Linked DNA regions of Oryzias latipes. The protein of the gene in region 2 interacts with the protein of the main gene of each other region in a biochemical or structural test. Links are inferred from orthologs where the notes say so. Each region holds a gene or a part of one and is shown on either strand. Other genes may lie near its edges.

Region 1 (2,365 bases), on a different chromosome or scaffold from region 2:
GAAACATTTCAAGTTGTCATGGGATTTAGACGCCTGTTTATGAGCCTTACAAAGAGACAAAATGCCCTTTATTTGAAACAAACACTCAGATCAACCAGAAATTAGTCAACCAATGAAAGAAAAAGCAATACCAGCTGTTGACTCCTGCAGATACGCAGATGTGTCTTTTCTTAACGCTGCAGTGAGTAGAGCCATATCTGAATTCCCTCACTACTCCCTAAACACCTAAAAGACTACAGTGCGTAGTATATAGTATTGTCTAATGCCCTGGATGTTGATGCAATTCGGATGCTCTCTACTTTTTTTTTTTCAAGCCAGATTTGATGTCTCCAATTGGTCAAAGTAAAACCTAAAAAAATGAACATTTCTGGAAGATTCTTTATGAATCCACTGAGTTTTAATGATGAAAACTGGGATGATTTATAAAAAATAAATGTATATAAGTTTTTCAGATGACAAATTGTTCAACAGCAATGCATTGTGGTCTATATTTACTAATCTAGTGTGCATCAATGCACTCTAGTTTTTTGCAAAGACTTCTGGGAAATTTCCAAGGCACTGGATTTTGGAATTGTAGATTTGAACAGCTCTACAAAATGGCAAACGCCCTATACAGTATAGTGCACTAAGTAGTGAGTCAGTGTTATGACTGTTTTTGACAAAAAGAGCTTAATTCACCTGTTTCTTTTTGGGAGCTGCAGAAAAGTCCAAACTTATACACCTATTTAAGGAAAATACCCAACCTGTTGTCGTTTTTCATCCTAAAGTTTAAAGGAATTATTCATAGGAACAGCTCAGTCACTAGATTCTGTAGTTTGCAGAAATGAGGGTGTTGCTGGGAAATGTATGCTGTTTCTGCTCAGGTGGATGGTCTGTCTTTGCTGGCTGCTTCAGTCTGTCACTGGCTGAGGAAGGCTCCTGTGGATGTTCCTCACATCTTGCTGTCTACTAACTTCCACAGTCTGCTGCAGCTAGGCCTGCTGCCAGCGAGCAGAATGGTATCTTTTCTGGTATGGTCAGAAGCTCATATAGAAAAACACAATTTAGCCTGAGGTATTTGTCTTTTCTAATGATGCCATCAAAGCCCACAGAGAAGTTGCCTGCATGTCTGTCTGTCCATGTGTGTGTTGGTTAGACCCTGGAGACTGCCGTGGATGGAGATGAGTTGGTGTTTTTGTACCAGCTGAGGGAAGGAATCTGCCAGTCGAGCTACGCAGCCAATATCGCATCCCTTGCAGGGCTGCCAGCTCGCCTGGTACACAGAGCAGTGGAGGTAAACACTCATAAACGTCCACCGGGGAGAGCTCACAGACTTTACAGTGCGACCGACTGTCGTTTCTGCCTCGCGTCAGGTGTCGGAACATTACAGAACAGGAAAGCCCATCAAACGCACCCAGGGAGCTTCGTCTGACGAAAAGGAAAAGAGGTTTGCTGAACTTCTGAAATGGCTTTATATGTCTGTTTAAGTGAAACAAAAAATAACAATTTATGACTGACAGGTGCAAGATTATGGTGGAGAAGTTCCTGAGCCTCGACCTGGACAACAAAGATTTGGACCTAAAGAGTTTTATGAAAGAGGAAATCCTGCCCTCTGCTGGAGAGCCACAGAACTCCAGCTGAACTCATCCACTGTTATTTTGTCCATAAATGTTTCAGGTTAAGAGCAGAAGCACAAAGAACACATGATCTCTGTTGGAGTGAGAGAAACGTTTTATGTTCTGTGTATGTTACAAAGGTTGAGGTTACAAAACAGGAAAGGACATTTTATTTAACGTTTTCAAGCATTTTGTGTTGAAAAATGATCAAATAAACAGATATTTTTGTTTTAACGGTCCAGTTTCTGCAGATTCATTATTAATAAATACAAAAATGAAGACATTTTTTGGAGGTCTGAGCATGTGGTTCAGTCGTTCTCTCTTTAAAAACAAACTAATGAACTAAAATTAGGTTGATGGAACAGTGAGATTCAAAGTAGTTATCAAAGCAGTGAGATACAAGAGTGTGCATGTAGTAAACTGGTCTGCTGAGTTGCAGTAAGGCGTGTCACAGCAGTATTTGGTCATGGCAAAGACGGTTCTGTTAGGAAAGAGCTCCACTGTCGTCTCCACCCCACACTCCTCCGCCATAACACAGCCCAGAGTCTTTATATCCAGAGCGTCAGCTGAGGAGGGAGAGCAACATCCAGCATTTCGACCCAGACATTTCCATGAATGAGGAACAGAAATAGCAAGCTGGTGCTCATCTTACCTGCTTTCCCACGGCCTGTGTAGCAGAGCTCGCCGCGGCTGCAGTTGGTTTCCGTGGTGTAACAGGCATCCCAGAAGCCCAGGTCACAGCGGAAACACTCCAGATGCTCTTCATCGTC
Region 2 (4,295 bases):
AACTGATATCCAATACCTGCTCATAATAGATGCAATCTGCCATGAGGACATAACGAGGGGGAGGCAGGAACTCGGACACATCACCTCCCCTTAAGAGGAAACCCGATTTAACACAAATACACAACTAAATGAAAAAAAACTAAACAGGCATAATATAAAAAACACAGTACAAACCATTTTAGTACCTTGGCAGTTATAGATCCACGACTAACAAGGGCTTGGTTGTCTTTTATATTCACTTTCAGGAGTTTCTGAAGTTCCTCCAGGTCTGTGACAATAACTTGTGCTCTGTAAGTTTAAGATGAAGATGTCACTTTTGACTTATCTTGATTTTTAAACGATGATCTCTCTGGGTAAGGCAAGAATGCTAAGATATAGTAAAAGGGGAAAAATAGCTCCTAAAATAATATCCAGGAATCTCACCCGAGTGTTGCTGCCATCAAACCAACAACTCCTGTCCCAGCTCCCAGCTCAACAACACGCCTGCCAGACCACACGTTGACTCCTGACGGCGGGTCATAAAATTGTTTGGTTTCTAAATATTTCGCTAGGACAATTGCTGCATCCCAAACTACACAGCCGACGTCCCCGACATAACACTGCTTCACCTTCAGAGTGCAACCGTCGTTGTTCTCAATTTCTCTCACGAAATATTCGCTAGCATTCGCATTCGACGCCATGTTGAACCGATGTTTTGGAGAGAGAAAAAAAAACTACAAACTTCCTGTTTAAAACATTTTAGAGTAAAAGGTTAATAGTTTGGTGTGCCAATGACGTTTTCTCACTTTACCTATATCTGTGTTTTTATTGTGCATTAATTCACCAATTAAAATAAATCAGTAAGTTATATTTTGATTTGCTAATGGGCAAATAATTTTAAAATACATGTGAAAATATTTTCAAAATAAAACATTTCCGGCTACGGACTTGGAAGTGGTATTCATTTTTTCTTGTCTGGCCTTTTAAAAATGAACATTTATTGCATTTATTTTTGTAAGTTATTGTAATTTATTTATTGTTTTCTTGATTTGTGGTTACAGTTTTATCATTATAATTATTTTATGCTGTTGTTGTTTTCCTAATACATTTTTATAAACAACATATACAACAAACACGTGAATGCCAAAGGAAAAGAAAGAACAGACATACAATTAACAATGAGCTACAGTTTTTTTTACTACCTCTTCAAAAATTACATTTGTTGAAATGGCCTTTTTTGAAATTTATTTGATAATTTTACCATATTGATATTGCATACATTTCTGTAAAAAGTTTTTCAAGTTTAGGTTTTTAGTTCGACTACTTCCTTTTATGAATATGCAATTTCCCCAATAACAAATGTAGTTTTGTTTAATAAAAAAAATAGATTCCGATTCATGTATTCATTAAACCCGCCTAAAAGTATGTATTTTTCTGAATTGTTGTTCCAGGTCTAGGACTGTTATCATTTCCGACACTGTTCGCCAAGGCTGCCTTGACGGCAGTTGCACCGGTGGACATGCGCAGATGCTGCTACGGGGAAGAGAGCGCCGCGCGCCCAATCTGTGGTTGTTGCTATCTGTCCAGAAAAATACACCTCTCGATTTCCAGTTGTACTGTTTGACACAACTTTTTTACCCTGTGTGAAAATAAGTTTGGAAACTTTTGTCCGTTGTCAAACTTTTGCGATATGTAAACATGTATAATAGTAGCACAGACGAGGTAAGCGGTGGGGAAGCCTCTTTAGGAAAGAAGGGAGTGCAGGAAACGGCCACCTCCTACGGTCCTGCATCACTTTCCTCAGCTTTCTCCCAGCATAGTTTAAATGACAGCAGCACCAGCCAGAGACTATCTATACCAAGACTAACCTCAGGTAATCAATAATATAATATCTCTAACCAAGTTAGTTTAAAGCTAACTTAAAGTAAAAAGATGTCTGTTGGTAACCAGACCAAATGAAATTCTATAATGGGGTCTTTTGCTTTTGTCCTTATGTTTTGAGTGAGTTTGTTGCTTTTTCTTTTGAACTCAGCAGGTCAACGCCACAGCAGCTTCGGGGCAGGGAGGACATGGTCATCAATGCCCGCACCAACTTCAGACAGTTCTTCCTTTCACAGCTATGGAGGAACCCCAAGAGTCAGAAGAACACCCGTGTCTGCTGGGCTCACAGGTTGCAGACACAGACATCACTAGTTAAAGTCCCACTCCAGTCACCTTTTGATCCATTGTAAAAGCGTTCCTAGTGATCTGTTAATTATGAAAATATGCCACTTTTAGGCAAAATAAAGCAAAACTGTGTTGTTTTCGTGGACATTAACTCTGCGGAGTGGCAATAATTCGTCAGAAATTTGCCTCTGAGTGGTGGGCGTTGCTGTTGGAGTAAGCCTGACCTCATTTCCCGTCATCCTTTTGTTTACATTCTCTCCCGCTGGCTCACAGCTCCTCGCAACCCCAAACCTAATATTACAGGTGCAACAAAAATGACGAGCATTATCAGATCTAGTTTTCAGCCAGATGCCAGTTCAAACGAAGAAAACAAAGACGTTCATAGATCCGTTTGTCAATACATCTGAAGTTGATGCATCAGAATGGAGCAGAGCAGGGAGCTCGAGCCCACTAACTAAAGCAATTACATCCCTGCTGCAGCCTTTTTGCAACTGGAGACTGCATTTTTTTATGTCTCAACAATTTGAATAAAGACATTCTCAGAAATGCAATGATGAGCTTAATTTTCTTTATTTACGTTCTCCATCATGAGAAAAATGCCACAAAAGGATGTTAAAAATTCCCAAAGCACGATTTTCACTGGAGTGGGTCTATAAAATGTCCCCATCCAATAACATGCTTGAAATCAATTCAACACTTTTTGGTTTTGGATCGTTTTAGGAAGTAGCTGCTCATCTGGATCCACAAACACTGATGCTTCTGTGATCGTAGCTGTGGTAGAAGGCCGAGGTTTGGCCAGAGGAGAGATCGGTATGGCCAGCCTTAACTTGAAATGTCCAGAGCTGGTACTTTCCCAGTTTGCAGACACAGGAACGTATGCCAAGGCAAGCTCTGTATTTCCTATAAAACTAGCATGAACTGAGAATCCGACATGATGTTGAGCGTAAATGTCTCACGTCTTCTTTTGTTTCCTTTGAAGGTTATTACCAAAATCCACATATTGGTCCCAGTGGAAATACTGATGCCTGACACAGCCTGCGAAAAGGGCAAAGGAACAAAGCTGTTCAAGCTCATCACAGAGAATTTTCCTGTAAAAATGAGAAGTGAAAAAAAAAGCTAATAATTTGTGCTGGAACAATTCACCGAGATGAATCCGTTGGGGTTGTGTTTGCCCTCTTTTCATGTTTTTTTTTTTTTGCCAGGGTGTACCTTTCACAGCAATTCAAAGGAAATATTTTAATGAGAAGAAAGGACTGGAATACATTCAGCAGCTGTGTGCTCCAGAATACGGCACCGTTTTAATGGAAGTTCAAGCCAAGTAAGTAACTGATTTCATAAATGCACAGTGGGAGTTTAACTGGAGCATTGGGCTTTTTTATATTAATCAGTATTATGGTTTGCTCAGGTATTATTGCCTTGCAGCGGCTGCAGCTTTGCTGAAATACTTAGAGTTCCTCCAGAATTCAGTTTATGCAGCCAAGTCTCTTAAAGTGACCTTCAAAGGAAGTGAACAGACTGCCATGATCGACTCTGCATCTGCTTACAACTTAGAGCTGGTGGTCAATAACAGAGATCACAGGTAAGAAAAGGCATTTTTATCCTGTCATTGTAATATATCAGTAAGCCTCTGTCTTTGCTCAACCTTGTGCAGGAGTGAGCATACTCTTTTAGGGGTGCTCAACCATACCAAAACACCTGGGGGTGCCAGAAGATTGCGCTCCAATATCTTGGAGCCTCTTGTTAATGTGGACACCATCAACATGCGATTGGATGCTGTACAAGAGCTCCTGCAGGACGAGGAGCTTTTCTTTGGGCTAAAGAACGGTCAGAAACTAGCTACAAATATTTTGACCACAATTCAAAAACGTATGAGTATCATTAAGTAGAGCATTAGTCTTTCCCTTTTTTTTTATAGCCATCTGCCATTTTCTTGACGTTGACCGGCTGCTGTCAGTTCTTGTCCAGATCCCAAAACAGGAAACGGTGAGTATCAAACTTGTAGTTTTTCTTATGATTGAAACTAACAGTTAATCACCATTACGCCTTTGTTTATTGATTTTTTTGTGGGGTTTTTTTTGTGTGTGTGTTTAACTCTGCTTTTTTTTCTACAGGTTCAAGCTGCTGAAGCCAAGATCACACATGTCATTCAG
Region 3 (4,206 bases), about 440 kb from region 2:
AGCATCTGTGAAGACACATGTAATGTTACCAAATCAGCCTCATCTGGTGTGTTTTCAAGAGTCTAATCTGTCAGTGTGGTACCTCCGCAATCAAGCCCTGAGCTAATCAGCCTCTCCGACCTGGATTTAGGCAGGAAAGGCAACACTACATCCAATTGAAAAGGATAACACCTGTACTCCATCCCTACAGCTCCAAGCACAGGAAAGCAAACACCAAGAAAAAACAACAACTTTCTGCTCATAAACTGTTTTTTTTTTTTTTTTTTTTTTTACATATTATGGTTTCTCTGAAGGGTTATTTGAGAACTCACCCGTTTCAGAAATGACACTAACTGCCATATTGGTGACGTCGGATGTGCAGCAGACTTGCGTTTCTTCGGCTGGGTTGTCATATCTGCTGAGCCCGGTCACTCTGTTGATATAAACGGTCTTTCCGACAGACGTATTGTAGTGGTGAAGCCAAGTGCCAGATGCTGAATCCTCCTCAGCCCCGGCCTGAAGAGGACTTGTACTGCGGTGCGGGGTGGACCCAGCATGCACTGCAGTATCTTGAGGATTCTGACTGCTGCTTTCCTCCTCTGTGCCTTTATTACAGCTGCTAAGACAGATTTTCTTCTCCAACATAGTGCTGGGCCTGTGCAGAGAAACTTCTGCCTCTTCTTTCCTCAGTTCCTTTAACTGGGAGAGTTTTGCAGAGAAAGATAATTTGTCTTTATTCTGAGTTTTCCTAGCAGGAAAGCATGACAGATTTTGGGAGGAACTCTGTTTCTCCCTATCCCCTTGCACCTCAGCAGTTGTACGTTCCTTCCAATCATTGCTGCAAACAGACAAACTTGAGGAATTTAAGACAAGGCTGGACGTCTGGGGACCTCTTGCATCTTTCTGTAAATGCTGACGAGGTAGTTTCATCTCACCAGAATGGGCATACATTTGTCTAAACTTGTCAAGGGATCCGGATTCCTTAAATGCAGACAGTTTCTGACAAGGAAAAATTCTGGAAATCTTTGTGGGGGGGACAAAAGAAGGGTCTCTGCATGGATTTTGAGTGGATCTTTCCTGAGGTGCATTCAGAGAGATTTTGCGTTTTGGTGCAAAGTATTTATTCTGGCTATTTCCTCCTAACGTCTGCAATGGAAACGTGAAATTGTTAGTTAGCTGATTATCTTGAACAATTGATTCAGACAAACTGATCTTTCTGTTGCTTGCTAAGGACTGTTGTAGCCTGCCTGCGACTTGTACATTCCTTGTTGGCTTTTTATGGTTGAAGTCATTTCGAACTAGCTGTTTTGGCGAGTTAACGCTTTGCCTCACATCTTCTGAAAACCCAACCTCGTGTACATTTGGCATCTTTGCATTTTTAACGACTCCACCGTCTTCTGACTCAATTTGTGTTGTCGTTTGTGACTCATTTTCAGATGCACCCGTTTGTCCTGATTCTTCGGTCTCATCAGTTTTGCTCTTAGTCAGACCAGACTCTGGGCAAACCCCATCATCTGTACTCCTACGATGAACAAGTTCAGATGCAAGTTTCATTCCATGGTGGCAGTCCGTGGCGGAAATGTCTGGGGGTGCCGCTCTCGTTTGGTCCTCCTCTTGATCTGCTTTGGAGGCACAGAACACTCGTGAAGACTCGCAGTCCAAGTCCTCCTGAGAAAACTCTGACATCAAGTTCTCCCTCCTCAGGAAAGCTCTGACTGCCTCTTCAACGCAGAGTAAAACCTCATCCCAGTCTCTGAACTCTATTAGAGTTTTGGTTGGTTCAAAACAGATATCATATTCTGAATAAGAACATTTAATGTTGAGGATGTAGACGCCAAAAAGCTCATGGCTTTGCTTATTCTTGGGACTTTTAATGACAGAAGGGCCATCTGAGGGGTCCGGTTTTTGTTTTAATCTGCGCAGTAGGAGGTTCAACAGCTTGTGGATCCTTGTTTTCAACAGCAGCCTTTCATTGACATACAGGAATTGCAAGCTGTTATTGTAGTGTCCCTCTTTGCCAAGGTAACCGACTGCTTCAAACTGCTTGTGGCTGTAGCAGATTTCTCCCAGCTTCTCTGCTCGTGTGAGACCGTGGATCTGCACGAACCTGTGATAGGTGCTTTTAGCTTTTGGGAGCTGTACCATCATGGCTCCAGTGGAGTCATTTTTCAAGGTAAAGGACACAGACGGGTTCATGAGGGAAACGGCCTCCACCCTGTGCCTGACCCGTTCCCCCTCCAGCACAGCATCCAGCCTCCTCCTCCGCACCGGCATGTTGTGGAAGAAGTTACAGACGATGACGGTTGTCCCCGCAGAGGGTCTAACAGTCTCTGCTTCAAATACATCCACGCCCCTCCCGTCTTTAAACAGCTTCACGAGGGTTTTGGCAGACGCCCGGGAACGGGATGAGATTTCAACCAGCGTTGCCATAGAAACGATACTTGCCAAGGCCTCTCCTCTGAAACCGTGCGATTTGACGTTGTCCAGGTCTTCCAAAGAGCCGCATTTGCTTGTGTGATATCTGTTTCCCACACGCTGCATGTTCTCAGTGTTCATCCCGGCACCATTGTCGATCACCTGGACTTTAAAAGCCTCCAGGTCCATTCGGACTCCCACGCAGGTCGCCCCGGCATCTATGCTGTTCAAAACGAGCTCCTCTACGCACTGCTGCAGGGAGGGGATGGCGACGCCGGAGCGAAGCTGCCCCTGAACTTCTGGAGGCAACAATTTAATCATTGTACTGCTTCTCTTCTCTGAGCATTGAGTTGTTTTCATCTCTGCTATAAATAAAACTAGTCAGCAACTGATATAAAACTAAAAGTCATTGACTAGAAAAAAAATAGAATACATATTCTTAGGTCAAATATTACAAAAGCGTTTTTTTAAAAGCCTTCAAAACAGCAAATGACGTCAATTTAAAAATAAATTAAACGCAAAAGCAAGTGTGTCGTTGTTTACAACCAACGTGTTGAAAAATGAGAACGTTTTCCTCAGGTTTTAGCTAACAGCCAAATCCTACAATGCCATCTAGCGGTTAGTGGTGGAATTGTCGCCGGGCAAATCTATCCGGTTAGCCCTTGTGCTATCTTAGATTACCCCACCCTTACATTGACGTGTTCTCCCTACCATGACAAAGGTGGTTAAAGGTGGAAATATTTCATGTAATCCATGGACACCAGTGAAGTTCACAAATCATTTAAGAAAAAAGGTTCAAAGCACTTTCTAGTGGGTCTAGATGACCCAACTCCCGATGTTAAAGTGCCTAGGATAGCACAAAGGTTAAAAAAGTTCCCAGAACAGAGTGAAGTTATCCTTTATAAGTATTATCTTGTTTTCTAGAATCCAAAAATATGAACAAAATGCCATAATATTCAAAGAATATTCAAAATTACTAGGATCTTGAAGAAAGCCTGATAAAAACTCTTATTTTTTTTTTATTGGTAGGTGCAGCACAATTTATTTGGTCATGATGTGATTAATATAAAAACAGGGAGAAATATATTTAGGTGGGTGAGGCTACTTCAAAAATTCAACTTTTTAAACGTTGAAACAGATTTAGTTTAAATTATGTTTAGACAACTACAAACTTGTGACCTGGCCTAAATAAAAAAAATATTCTTACAAAAATAAAATGAAAAATTTGCCCATGTATGTTGTGTGAGTCTGATTTTATTCTCACAGATATCTTTTTTAACGTCATCCTTTACTGACTGCATTTACTTGAGACAATTTATTTTTACATCCCATTCACAGTGTTTAACCTTTAAAATGGAGCACCTTTTAAAATAAAGTTTAGATTTTCTTTTTCTCTATATCAGTGGAAATACAAACACCAGAAAAACCAGTTTAAATTCATTTCAATTTATTTATTATTGGCAGTCCAGGTAAAGGTTGTTACCAAATGATTTTCTTAATAGGATATTAAGGAGTGCCAGCATTAGTATTACACATATGGAGCTCAATAAGGTTGTTTTATTACAACCATTTAAATAACATTATTTTTAAAAACTAAATAAATATGTAATGCATTTTAAGATTAACAACATAGTGAAATGAACCTATTTCATTTCACTATGTTGAAAGAGGAGTGTTCTAAGCTATCAATTGTTTTTTCATTGCTGAATTCTGCTTTGGTTATGCGTGACTTAGGGCTGCCAGTGGATTTCAACCACTCTTGCATTTCCTTCACTTTGCTGCAGGGACCTTGCAGCTGCCCCTGGACCGTTC

The links.
Region 1: the proteins of msh4 (region 2) and msh5 form a complex in vitro, tested with the Homo sapiens proteins (2 studies listed by BioGRID). The link is inferred for Oryzias latipes from reciprocal best matches to the Homo sapiens genes MSH4 and MSH5.
Region 3: the proteins of msh4 (region 2) and mlh3 form a complex in vitro, tested with the Homo sapiens proteins (2 studies listed by BioGRID). The link is inferred for Oryzias latipes from reciprocal best matches to the Homo sapiens genes MSH4 and MLH3.

What each region holds. Positions count from the first base shown.
Region 1 is NC_019874.2:17,861,357-17,863,721, reverse strand, and holds the end of msh5 (mutS protein homolog 5), read left to right. Parts: intron 1-863; coding exon 864-1,010; coding exon of another isoform or gene 1,011-1,052; exon of another isoform or gene 1,053-1,053; intron 1,054-1,135; coding exon 1,136-1,273; intron 1,274-1,352; coding exon 1,353-1,426; intron 1,427-1,499; coding exon 1,500-1,620; 3' UTR 1,621-1,832; downstream 1,833-2,365. Other genes in the region: sperm acrosome membrane-associated protein 4-like, read right to left, coding at 1,944-2,161, 2,248-2,365.
Region 2 is NC_019880.2:12,788,305-12,792,599, forward strand, and holds the start of msh4 (mutS protein homolog 4), read left to right. Parts: upstream 1-1,438; 5' UTR 1,439-1,677; coding exon 1,678-1,852; intron 1,853-2,011; coding exon 2,012-2,149; intron 2,150-2,865; coding exon 2,866-3,029; intron 3,030-3,124; coding exon 3,125-3,235; intron 3,236-3,347; coding exon 3,348-3,463; intron 3,464-3,550; coding exon 3,551-3,724; intron 3,725-3,796; coding exon 3,797-3,969; intron 3,970-4,060; coding exon 4,061-4,128; intron 4,129-4,256; coding exon 4,257-4,295. Other genes in the region: vcpkmt (protein-lysine methyltransferase METTL21D), read right to left, coding at 17-89, 175-288, 424-680. UniProt on the Homo sapiens protein: Involved in meiotic recombination. Required for reciprocal recombination and proper segregation of homologous chromosomes at meiosis.
Region 3 is NC_019880.2:13,231,571-13,235,776, reverse strand, and holds the start of mlh3 (DNA mismatch repair protein Mlh3), read right to left. Parts: upstream 2,948-4,206; 5' UTR 2,755-2,947; coding exon 312-2,754; intron 191-311; coding exon 83-190; intron 6-82; coding exon 1-5. UniProt on the Homo sapiens protein: Probably involved in the repair of mismatches in DNA.